3 linked regions of the Diceros bicornis minor genome follow. The protein of the gene in region 3 purifies or fractionates together with the protein of the main gene of each other region. This does not show direct contact. Links are inferred from orthologs where the notes say so. Each region holds a gene or a part of one and is shown on either strand. Other genes may lie near its edges.

Evidence for each region.
Region 1: the proteins of RBM8A (region 3) and NCBP3 purify together in Homo sapiens (co-immunoprecipitation; 3 studies listed by BioGRID and IntAct, with this or other methods). This does not show direct contact. The link is inferred for Diceros bicornis minor from reciprocal best matches to the Homo sapiens genes RBM8A and NCBP3.
Region 2: the proteins of RBM8A (region 3) and UPF3A purify together in Homo sapiens (co-immunoprecipitation; 4 studies listed by BioGRID and IntAct, with this or other methods). This does not show direct contact. The link is inferred for Diceros bicornis minor from reciprocal best matches to the Homo sapiens genes RBM8A and UPF3A.

What each region holds. Positions count from the first base shown.
Region 1 is NC_080757.1:13,940,316-13,944,063, forward strand, and holds the start of NCBP3 (nuclear cap-binding protein subunit 3), read left to right. Parts: upstream 1-1,226; 5' UTR 1,227-1,248; coding exon 1,249-1,431; intron 1,432-3,379; coding exon 3,380-3,445; intron 3,446-3,748. UniProt on the Homo sapiens protein: Associates with NCBP1/CBP80 to form an alternative cap-binding complex (CBC) which plays a key role in mRNA export. NCBP3 serves as adapter protein linking the capped RNAs (m7GpppG-capped RNA) to NCBP1/CBP80.
Region 2 is NC_080748.1:87,795,113-87,798,860, forward strand, and holds the start of UPF3A (regulator of nonsense transcripts 3A), read left to right. Parts: upstream 1-1,496; 5' UTR 1,497-1,513; coding exon 1,514-1,699; intron 1,700-1,934; exon of another isoform or gene 1,935-2,298; coding exon of another isoform or gene 2,299-2,472; intron 2,473-2,623; coding exon 2,624-2,730; intron 2,731-3,748. UniProt on the Homo sapiens protein: Involved in nonsense-mediated decay (NMD) of mRNAs containing premature stop codons by associating with the nuclear exon junction complex (EJC) and serving as link between the EJC core and NMD machinery.
Region 3 is NC_080743.1:53,440,012-53,443,489, reverse strand, and holds RBM8A (RNA-binding protein 8A), read left to right. Parts: upstream 1-1,106; 5' UTR 1,107-1,148; coding exon 1,149-1,215; intron 1,216-1,502; coding exon 1,503-1,562; intron 1,563-1,689; coding exon 1,690-1,767; intron 1,768-1,957; coding exon 1,958-2,094; intron 2,095-2,420; coding exon 2,421-2,557; intron 2,558-2,665; coding exon 2,666-2,711; 3' UTR 2,712-2,873; downstream 2,874-3,478.

The sequences.
Region 1 (3,748 bases), on a different chromosome or scaffold from region 3:
TAACTACGCTATGTCCCTTTCATCAAGGAAAACCAGCCCTCTAAAGAGGTCTGTCTTGTGTGTGTCCTGTGATTTAGCCCAAATTTAAGAAAAACTATGATATTCTGTACCCCTTCTGTTGGATCCTGTATCTACACGTAATTATCTCATTTTACCCTTATAACCTCCTTTGTGGGTGGGTATAATTGTCCCATTTTACTGATGAAGGAACTGAGATTCTGAAGGGTTAAGTGGCTTGCCCAAGGTCACACATGGTGTAAGAGGCAGAGGCAGCTGGAAAACCCAGGTGTGTCTGATGCTAATCATGCTCTTCCTTGGTTTGTAATTATTTCTTCTTTCATGGTCAGAGCTCATAGGGCCTCAGAGACTCTAGTGTTCCACCTATGCTCTCCTCAGATGGGAAGAAACGCTCAGAACCAGCCCAAGGCAACACAAGGAGGAAGGTGCAAAATCAAGACTCAAAACAAAAACTGACCAGCAGTGCCCACTGGAAGCCTAGAGGACACTACCCTTCTCCCAGCCAGGCTCCTGTTAGGAATGTCTGCAAGAAACCATGCTCAGGAGTCTACCGTGGAACAAGCCCTCCAGAATCAGGAAATTGGGGTTCAAGTTCTGGCCTTTAGGCAGCTCACTACCCTCTTGGAGTCTCAATTTTTGTCCATGTAAAATGCGCCAATTATTGGGAGTCTCAAAAGAGTCAAAGGTTGGCAAGGCAAGTACGTTGTAAACCTACAGACTGCCCAGAGGTGATAGACCAAGGCTCGTTCTGGGCTTAGAGTCAGACTGCCTAGGCTCAGATCCAGGTCTTATCCCTTAAATTGCCTATCACCTTGGTAAATTTCTATGCCTCAGTTTCCTTGTAATAATAGGACCTACTTCACAGGGTTGCTGTAAAGATTCAAGCGCTTGGAACAGTCACTGGCACGTGAGGATCATTCACTAAAGTTAGCTTTTATTACAGGTCTGTTGCTCGAGGCGTAGGACCAAACCGATCTCATTCAGGCCCCGCCCCCTCCATCAGGCTCCGCCCCCGTCCTCACTCGGTCCCGCCTCCTCCTCACTAGGCCCCGCTCCAGGCGTCCGGGGTTCCTTCCGCCACCAGGGGGCGGCGGCGCTGAAGGGGGCCTTCTAGCCGAAGCAGGCGACGCTCTAGATAGCGGCGGCGGCAGCACTGTGGCCAGTGGCGGCGGCGCTCTAGCCAGCTGGTGTGCGGGGCGGGGTACTCAGTGGTGCGGCCGGCGGGCGGCGATGGCGGCCGTACGGGGCCTGCGAGTGTCGGTGAAGGCGGAGGCCCCGGCGGGGCCGGCCCTGGGGCTCCCGTCGCCTGAGGCGGAGTCCAGTCTGGAGCGTGGCGAGCCGGAGCCCATGGAGGTGGAGGAGGGCGAGCTGGAGCTCGTGCCGGTGCGGCGCTCGCTGAAGGAACTGATCCCGGTACGGGGGGCGAGGGGGAGGTCGCCGAGAGACTGCCCCGCGCCGGAGCGGCCGGAAGGGGAGGCGGCGGGCGCCCGGGCCGGGGGAAGTCAGGAGACGGGAGAGGCGAGCGAGCGCCCGGGGGCGGGGGCGCCGGGCTTGAGGAGAGACGGGGAGCGGGGGAGAGGACGCCGGGGCGTCCGGAAATGGTGTCGAGGGGCTGAGGAGGTGAGGGAGAGCTGGGGGGGCAGTTGAGGACACCCCCTCCGCTGTCCCTTGGAGCCAGTCTGTGCGAGGGGTGGGTGAGGAGGGGCGGGGATTGTCTGGGGCTTGAGATAAAGGGGGAGCCCGGGCGGGAACAGAACCAGGAGCGGCCCAGAAGGAGCTGTGGGCAGGCGCCGGCATCCAGGTCTCCCTGCGGGTCCAGCGCTGGTGGGGCTGTGTCTGTTAAACATTGCACTGGCGGTTTCTCTTGGGAGGGCTGGACTTGTCAGCAGCAGAAACTCGGTGTTTCTGTGGTGACTCGAGGGTCGTCTTGTCCCCGCACAGCTCCACTGCTGTGTGGCACCTACGCCGGGGGCCCCAGCATCTGACCCTTAATGAAACCAAAACAGCAGCGAACCAGCAGTGGTGCTTGGTCCGTCTCTTATCACAATGGGATGGTGAGAGGTGTTTTGCTTGTGGTTTGGTGGTCCTCTGTCCGGTTCTTAGGGCTGGTCTCAGGCCTCCATGGCTCCTCTCATTTACTTAATTTCTCGCCCAACACGAACGACTTTTTACTGCATGTCAGCAAGTCTTGCTTTTAGACTGAAATTATGAAAAAAGGTGAAGGTAGGATCACAAATGATATACAGAGATAGCAAAGGATAATGACTCTGGTGACAACAATTAACGTAGTGGCGTTTTACCATTTACCACATTAGATCATTTAAATGTCACTGCACTTGTGAAGTAGACATTATCATCTCTTTATTCATTCAGTTCAGTATGCATTTGTTGCATCCCCCACTGTGTGCCAGGCACAGCCCCAAGCGCTTGGTCAAGATCAGACTCCCTCCTGGAGTTTATGTTTCAGCTGGGGGACACAAGGAAAAAAATAATTTCCCATAGTGATAAGTGCTATGAAGAAAACGAAACATGTTAATGAGATTGAGAATGTAGAAGTCAGGGAGGGTGTGCAGAGCAGGAAGCCGAATGGGATAGGATGGTCAGGGAAGTCCTCTGAAATAGTGACATTTAAGCTGAACCCTAAAGGACAAACAGGAGCCAACCGTGTGCAGGTTTGGAAGAGAGTGGTCCCGGCAGGGGCAACAGTAAGCCCAAAGGCTCTGAGATGGGAACAAGATTGTTTTGTTGGAGAAACGGAAAGTTCTGGAGTGCAAATGGGAGAGCAGTAAAAGAGGTCAGGAAGGTAGGCAGACACCACAGAGGAAACGTAGGCCCAGAGAGGCCAAAGGAATTGTACAGTGTCGTGTAATCAGTGAACCTCAGAGCTGCCACTCGAGTCCTCGGCTTCCCAGTCCCATCCTCTTTTCACAGCCCTGTACTGTGTTTTCCCCAGGAGGTCTAGGTGAGTCTGGACTTGCTGCATTTTGGTGAAGACTTGTGCTCCACCTGGTGGCCCAGCATGATGAGTTTGTTCAGTCTGGGCTGGGGAGACAAATGACCGTGCCTCATCCCAGACATTTTTCGTGGAAGCCTTTAGATTTTCATTTACATGGACACCTTTAGTAGATGGAATTACTTAAGGTTTTGGACAGGCTCTGATCTAGGAAAGACTTCTCGTTAGAGAGGTGGATTGCTACCATGGAGTCACTGAGACAGGCTTCCTCGTAATAAGAGGTTGTCAGGGTGGGGGAAGGATTGCTGAAAAGAATGACTATCCAAAAGGAATCAGTTGTCGGGCTGTCTTTTATCAAGTTTTTCCTCAGTTGCCATCAGCATTTCTTACCCTTCCCCCTCGTGTTAGGACACAAGCAGAAGATATGAAAACAAGGCTGGCAGCTTCATCACTGGAATCGATGTCACCTCCAAGGTAAGACAGACCATGATTTATTTATTCGTTTTGATAAGCAGGTGAACTTAATGAACTTGGTCCTAAGACTTGTAGAACAGCAATTATTCTTTACCTCCTTTTTTCTTTTGTTGCTGGATTAAAAAATTTTTATTTAATTTAAATTTCTTTTTACACAATGATGCTCTCATGCATCCTGAAAATATCCGGGCAGCATTTGTATGTTCTCACATCCATGAAAAGATAAAATAACCCTACCTAGATGCCTGTGCTTAACCACATCCAAGAGAAAGTTCTGCACTGGGAATGCTTTTTTTATGCTAT
Region 2 (3,748 bases), on a different chromosome or scaffold from region 3:
GTACAAAGGGTAACCCTTTGGGTTTAAACCTGATTCTAGGCTTGAACTAAACAAGCCTGATTTATGGCCTATGAAACATACATTGTACATACACTTTAACCATTAAAGAACATCCTCTCTTAAGAATGCTTACCTCCCCTCCTACGCCCTATTGGTAATGCGGATTAGTCCCTTTCCCCAACATCAGGGTCATGTTGACCTGCTAATTTGCAACTGAATGCCTCTTTGAAATTTTATCCTGGGCATGTTTAATGTATGTTTTTTGTCCTAAAAAGGTGTAAGACTGTACTGAAAACCACTCTTCTCCAGAACGCTTTCTTACTTTCTGGAAAAGGCCCTCCTGGGTTATAATCCTTATTGGTTATTTTGCATCCACACTTTGAGAACAATAAATATCTGTAACTGTTTTATTAAGCACGTGTATGTAACTCGCAGGACTATTCGGCCAAATAGCCAGCTCTCTGTGGGAAGCAGGTTCAGCCCTGTGTGGGAGATCAAGATTTGGCCACCCTGAAATCTCTCTCTTTACCTTGGTTGTTTTCTCTGAGGACATTTGACCTCCCCCACTAACTGCCTAAAGAATTTGACATAGTATCAAACTCTTTGATACTGGAACAGATCTTCTATCTGATGGCTGTAATATAATGTAAAATAGATGTTACAATAGAAAAGGCATCAACAAGCCCATATTATGTCTCTCTGGCCACATTCTCTGGATGGCCCTGCGAGGAGTTGCCAGACAAACATTTACATTTATAAGGGAAATCTCCATTTGTAAAGGGATCTCCCTCTCTGTTTTGGGAAGAGGGGGGATGGCCTCATTTCTAGAGACTTATCACTATGGAAGGTGAGGCCTTAAATCTGCATAATAACCTCACTCTTGTTTACTGGGCTTTAGTGATAATCTTCTGTAACTGACTCCCCCCCCCCAACATCCTCCTTTGTCATTGGCTGAACATGGTATTTAAGACTAGAATTTCTGCTATTGTGTTGAGAAACGCAGCGTCCCTGCTTTCTCCCACGTATACATTGTTATTAAACTTGGTATTATTTTCTCCTGCTAACCTGTCTTATTAATTATTTGGCCAGCCATAAGAACCTAAGGCAAAGGGCAGAGGGAGATTCTCCCTCTCTCCCAACACCTGCAAAGGCTGTTGCTTGAGCCAATCGTCCCCTGGGCCAGAATGTCCTGCTGACACCAAACGAACAAGACTCCAGACCCTCCGAGGTCGAGCTCCCACTTCCCAGTGACCGCACAGCTGCGCAATGTGGCGGCAGGGCTGGTGGGAGGTGCGGCTCCAGGGCCCCCATACAGAGGCCCCAGGGCGGCGGCGGAGGTCGTGGGCCAAGAGGGCGCGCGGAAAGTGGAATACCCGGGGCCAGGGGGTGGCCCAGGGGGAGGGGGCGGAGGGGAACGGAGGAGAGGGGCGGGCGCCATCCAAGCCCCAGCGGCCCAGTTCTCGCGAGGTTCCGCCCGGGCGAGAGGCGGCAGTGGCTCCGCGACCGGTACGAGATGCGCTCGGAGAAGGAGGGGGCCGGAGGCCCCAGGGCGGCTGTTGCTGCACGGCGCTCAACCGGGAGGGAGAAGGCAGCCGTCCTGGAAGTCCAGTTCCGCCGGGAGTCGCCACCGGCCGCGTCCTCCGGCTGTGGGGGTGGCGCAGGCAAACCTCGCGAGGAGAAGAAAACGGCCCTAAGCAAGGTGGGGGCGGGGCGAAGGAAGGGGCGGGGTGAGGACGGGGCGGTGCAAGCAAACCTCGCGAGAGGAAGGGGAATTCTTAGCGCGGTCAGGCGGGGCGAGGGTGGGTGCTGCGCGCCAACCTCGCGAGAGGAGGACGGTCCTCAGCAAGGTGAGGCGGGGCCGCGGGTTGGGCGGGGCGCCCTTCAGCACCGCGGACAGCGGTCGGGCAGCGCTGGCCGAGTTTTCGGCGCCCTCCGACGCGAGCTTTTCCGGCCTGGGGAGGAAGAAATGCCCTGTGGGCCTGAGCACGTTTCCCGCTGGGGCTGAGACGCTGGGCTCCCCGGCGCCTGGCAGTAGCTGTCCGCACTGCCGAGGAGCGCGGCCGCAGGGGGCACGAGCGGGGTCGGTGGCTCGGCGGCTCTGTCAGGGTCCGGTCCGGTCCAGGGAAGACGGCGGCAGCCGGGAGAGGCAGCCCGGACGGCTGGTGAGGTGTTGGAGAGGACCCGCGGTGTGGACACTGCGGACAGGAGGCGGACTTCCCCTGGGCAGTGAGGACGGTGCCCGTGGGTTTGCTCCTGCTGGTGTTCTCTGCGTGTGTCTTGCCTCCTAGTGTGGCCCACATGCAGGAGAGAGAGGAGCGGGTCTTATTTTGCAGCTCGGGCACGGACCGTACGTGTCGTGGTAGTAATGAAATGATTCCGAGGAAGAGGGGTTATGCGCAGGCTTTTCTGACCCCACGGATCCCTTTTAAATTATTCAGCCCTCATTACCCTTTTGACAGCTATGTTCTCCAGGTATTTCTTATCCTTTCCTAAAATGTGTGTTTCTGCTGGACGCCTGGTTTAGATTTTCCTTTGAGCATAAACACAGGTGACCAAGCATTCAAATAATTGAAGCTTAATACAGTGATAGTGAAACAAAACCCAGGCAGCGACCTTTCCCCAGGTGGTCATCCGGCGGCTTCCTCCCAGCCTCACCAAGGAGCAGCTGGAACAGCAGCTTCGCCCGCTGCCTGCGCACGACTCCTTCGAGTTCTTCACTGCCGATCTCAGGTGAGAAGCTGTTTACCGACGTTAAACAGCTGTGAGGTATTGTCAGTGGTGGAAATTTTTGTAGATAATAGGAGCCATCTTCGTTTCCATCTTCTTTCCCACACGTACCCAGAAATCAGTGCAGACCTTTGTTTCTAAGTTATTTCTAAGTAGGCAGATCATTAAATTCCTCTAAAACAGATTTGGAATATGCCTCTGCTGTCACTACCGTAGTCTGAAAAGAAAAACAGACAAACTAACAACATATTACTCAATTTTGGATATCAATAAACTATTTCATAGAGCTTTTTAAAGTAGATTTTATTAAGATATAACAAAGAAAAGTGAATGAATAATAGATGTATAACCTGATGAATTTTCACAAGTGAACACACCCATATAATTAACACCAGATAAAGAAACAGAATATCCCCGACCCCAGAAGCCCCCTTGTACTCCCTTCTATCACTAACACCCCGACCCTGCGCATGCCCGGTCATGTCTTTTTCAATTCCCTGTTACAGCTTGGTAATAAGATGACTCTGACAACACTGTAACACTTCCAAATTTCCCTTTTAATGACACAGAGGGAGCAGACCAGGTTAGACCTTCAACAGGTGACAGTTCACCTAGAATTTAGTGATTTTCATTATGTTTTTATCATGATCTTCATTATCATTGTTATTGTTTCTATTCTCAATATTGTGAGTTCTCAATTATGGTAGCCATAGGAACTTTCCTTTAGAATAAATGCATTTAAGTAAAAAACGTCAGTCCATTCAAAGAAAAATATCACTAAGAGGTAACTTTAGATATAGTTTAAAAACCCAACAGAAAGATGGTTTTCAAATGACTAAAGTTTAGGAAAACTGGTGCCGTTACAGGAAGACGGGCACTGGTCTCAGGTGGGATCCCAGGCCCACCTTTTAACTAACACGTCCTCTCAAGTTCCTGATTTCTCAGTGTTCTCATCTGTCACGTGGGGCTGAAAGTTCCTGCCTATGAAGGAAATCGGTAGCTGTGAGACGGGAGAAAGGCT
Region 3 (3,478 bases):
TTAATAACATGTATACATGGGAGAAACTCAGAAATGAGCAACTCGTCCCTCTGTCTAAGCTGCTTGCTTAAGTATTGCAGCTAAAGGCGAGGAGCATGTTGGGGGTGGGTAGTGGCCTAGGACTTCAGAGGGCAGGAGGACAATTCTTTTCTGGGTCATTTATAGATAACATGGTCATCTATAGATAACGTGGTCAGGGAGAGACAGAGTTTTTTGATAAAAGAGACTTGGTGCCTTTGCTATTGTAACCTCTATCCTACATCATCTTTATAGCCATCATGATATAAGATCTGTTCCAGGAAGGAGCCACCATGTCAAATTCTTTAGGCAGTTACTGGGGGAGGTCAAATGTCCCCCAGAGAAAACAATCAAGGTAAAGAGATATATTTCAGGGTGGCCAAATCTTGATCTCCCACAGCCTCAATGCCTAGGTTTTTAAACGTGAAATACCTGTACCACCACCAGAGAAACTTTAAAGCCCCTATTCTGTTTAAAGCCATGACTATTTTTTAATTCCCAGAGACAGTGGGAAGAGTTTCGGAATTTAACAACAAAAAAAAGAAAGTTATCTGTTCACCAATGGTTTCACGCACAACTAGGTCTGTTAGTTTCCTTAAGAGAGAAATTCGGTACTGCCGTAGGTTCCAGAGGCAGCTTTTTGAGCCAGCATTGCTGACTGAACTATTTTTTTAAAATGCTTCCATCACAGATGCGGCTGCTCCTCGGAACACGTAAAGGCCTGGAAGTTTTGACAGAAAAACTTTCTTAAACTTCAATTTCCTAGAATGGTGTGGTGAAAAGAGACGGAAAGCAACCCTCTAATAAGGAAATTAGGCTGGGCTTCATTGTCAGTACTATTTCTCGTTGGCTGTCCTAGTCGAGAAATCCGCAGACTTGCCCACCCCCGAGCTTGTCCCTCACAGGGCTGCTGCTTTCAGCTCACGACCTGCTCAAGATGGCTACAGATACACTTCCGGCAGCTTCCCGAACTAGGCCCGCCTCTATTTGCGTATTTTCAACGCGCCGGGGGCCGGACTTAGAGTTAGCTTTTCATTGGTCAACTTGACTGGCGACCTTTCGTCTCCGCGACAGTTTCCCGAGGTGCCTAGTGCCTGAGCGGCACGGACGAGAGTTACAACGAAGGCAAGATGGCGGATGTGCTGGATCTTCATGAGGCTGGCGGCGAGGATTTCGCCATGGATGAGGATGGGGACGGTGAGGACAGTGGAGGCGGCTGCGGGAAGCGGGGAAGGTGCGAGAGAAGGGCGTTAACAGGAAAACACAATCTCCCTCTTCCCCAGCAGGGAAGATGGGAGCCGGGGAACTGGGTTTCGGTTGGATTAGAGACTCCGCCCCCCTCGAGAGGAATGGGGGCGGGACCGGGAAGGGACTGGGACTGGAGGTGGTGGGGTCTGCTTTCAGATACTGTCTTGGGACAAAGAGACTATTGTTATAAATAACTGTTGTCTTTGTTATTCATTCTTTCATTTCTGGGGTTCCAGAGAGCATCCACAAACTAAAAGAAAAAGCGAAGAAACGGAAGGGCCGCGGCTTTGGCTCCGGTGAGTGTGTGTGGGAAAAATGGGGTCTAGAATGGCGAGAGCTACGAGTTTTGGAGTTCCCGTTCAGACTCATGGGAAGCAGTGGGAGAAGGAGAATTTCCGGTGATCTCGTGTATGTTCCTTATAGAAGAGGGGTCTCGAGCGCGGATGCGTGAGGATTATGACAGCGTGGAGCAAGATGGTGATGAACCCGGCCCACAACGCTGTAAGTAACATGGAGCCTGTAGGGATCTGTGTTTGTAGAGAATCAGGAACCAATAAAATAAAACCCAGTAGAAATGGGGTCAGAGATAGCTTAACCATTCTCTGCAGTCCGTGCACTCACTCTACTCCTGTGATCTTGTTTGAAGTTTTTCTCTCATGTTCTCAAACAGTCTCCGTCCCTTCCCCAACAGCTGTTGAAGGCTGGATTCTCTTTGTCACTGGAGTCCATGAGGAAGCCACTGAAGAAGACATCCATGACAAATTTGCAGAGTATGGCGAAATAAAAAACATCCACCTCAACTTGGACAGGCGTACAGGATACCTGAAGGTATCCTAAGTAACACTCTTTTGCCTGTCTTCCTCCATAACCCTTAGACATCATTGGTAGTTCTTGTTTGCTGTGGTTGACCAAAAGCAAAGTTGAAATAAAATGACATTGGAAATTGATTTTGTTAGACACAGCAAAGAGACAGACAGAAACAGACACGGTGTGTATACAGTAGGGATATATGATGTACATTCATTGTTTAAAGTTTATAGATTTTTCTATTTGAGTATGAATTTAGATTTGAAGAAAAATTTAGTATTTGAAGATACTCAGGGATGTTTGGTGGAATAGGAGGGTTCTGATATCTGTCTTTTCCCTTGCCCCAGGGATATACTCTAGTTGAGTATGAAACATACAAGGAGGCCCAGGCTGCTATGGAGGGACTCAATGGCCAGGATTTGATGGGACAGCCAATCAGCGTGGACTGGTGTTTTGTCCGGGGTCCGCCCAAGGGCAAGAGGAGGTAAAGTGGAGCGGGCAAACACTATCTTGCTAAAGGGAATATGAAGGAAACCGATTAAGGACTTTGTATTATGTCCCTCTGATGGACCTCCCCCTTCCTTTTCCCTAGAGGTGGCCGAAGACGCAGCAGGAGTCCAGACCGGAGGCGTCGCTGACAAGATCTCTGTTGTCGAGGTGGTTTCTCCAGAGATTCCATTTGACCACGCAACCTTGGAGAAAGAGAGCCGGGGTGGAACTCACTATGTTTATATTTAATCTCTTACCCTACCTGCTTAGTGTTTGAGTTATGAATAAATGTCCCATTTTTGTTTTCTACATTTAAAGTTTTTTTCCTATTCTAACATTGGAAGCTCTGAAGCACTATTTAGAGTAAGGCAGTGTGGGTTACTGTGAAGATACTTCTCCCAGGAACTGAATTCTGTGTGAGTTTCTACATTAGACATAGTTTCAAGTCTCAGCTAGGGTTAAAAGAAAGAGACTGCTTAGTATTTCTTTTTCTTGGAAGCTAAGAAAGCAGGGCTAGAAGTGAGATGTTCTCATGATATTAAAGAATAATTATTCCCTTCCTATATACTCTGTCCTGAGCAAATGGATATTACAGGAATGTCTCTTGTGTTTCTCCTGCTCTTCTTCCTGCCACATTTGTTTGTATTTCCAGCTGTCTAAGGGCTTGAGTCTCCTGTCGAGGCATTCTCCCAGACCCTCTTTCCCTGGAAGAGTCTTTACTAAGTTCTTGGTGCCCTCTTTGGCATCCAAGGGTGAAGGCCCCATAAAGGAGAGGATCCAGAGGAGCTTTGAGGATGCCCAAGAGGAAAAGGATATGGCTGAGGCTGGGAGGGACTTCAGTTAGCATGGTGGGAGAGAACCAGTACCACAGACCCAGCAGGTAATAAGGTGTCCAGCAGAGGACGAAGGTCAGCAA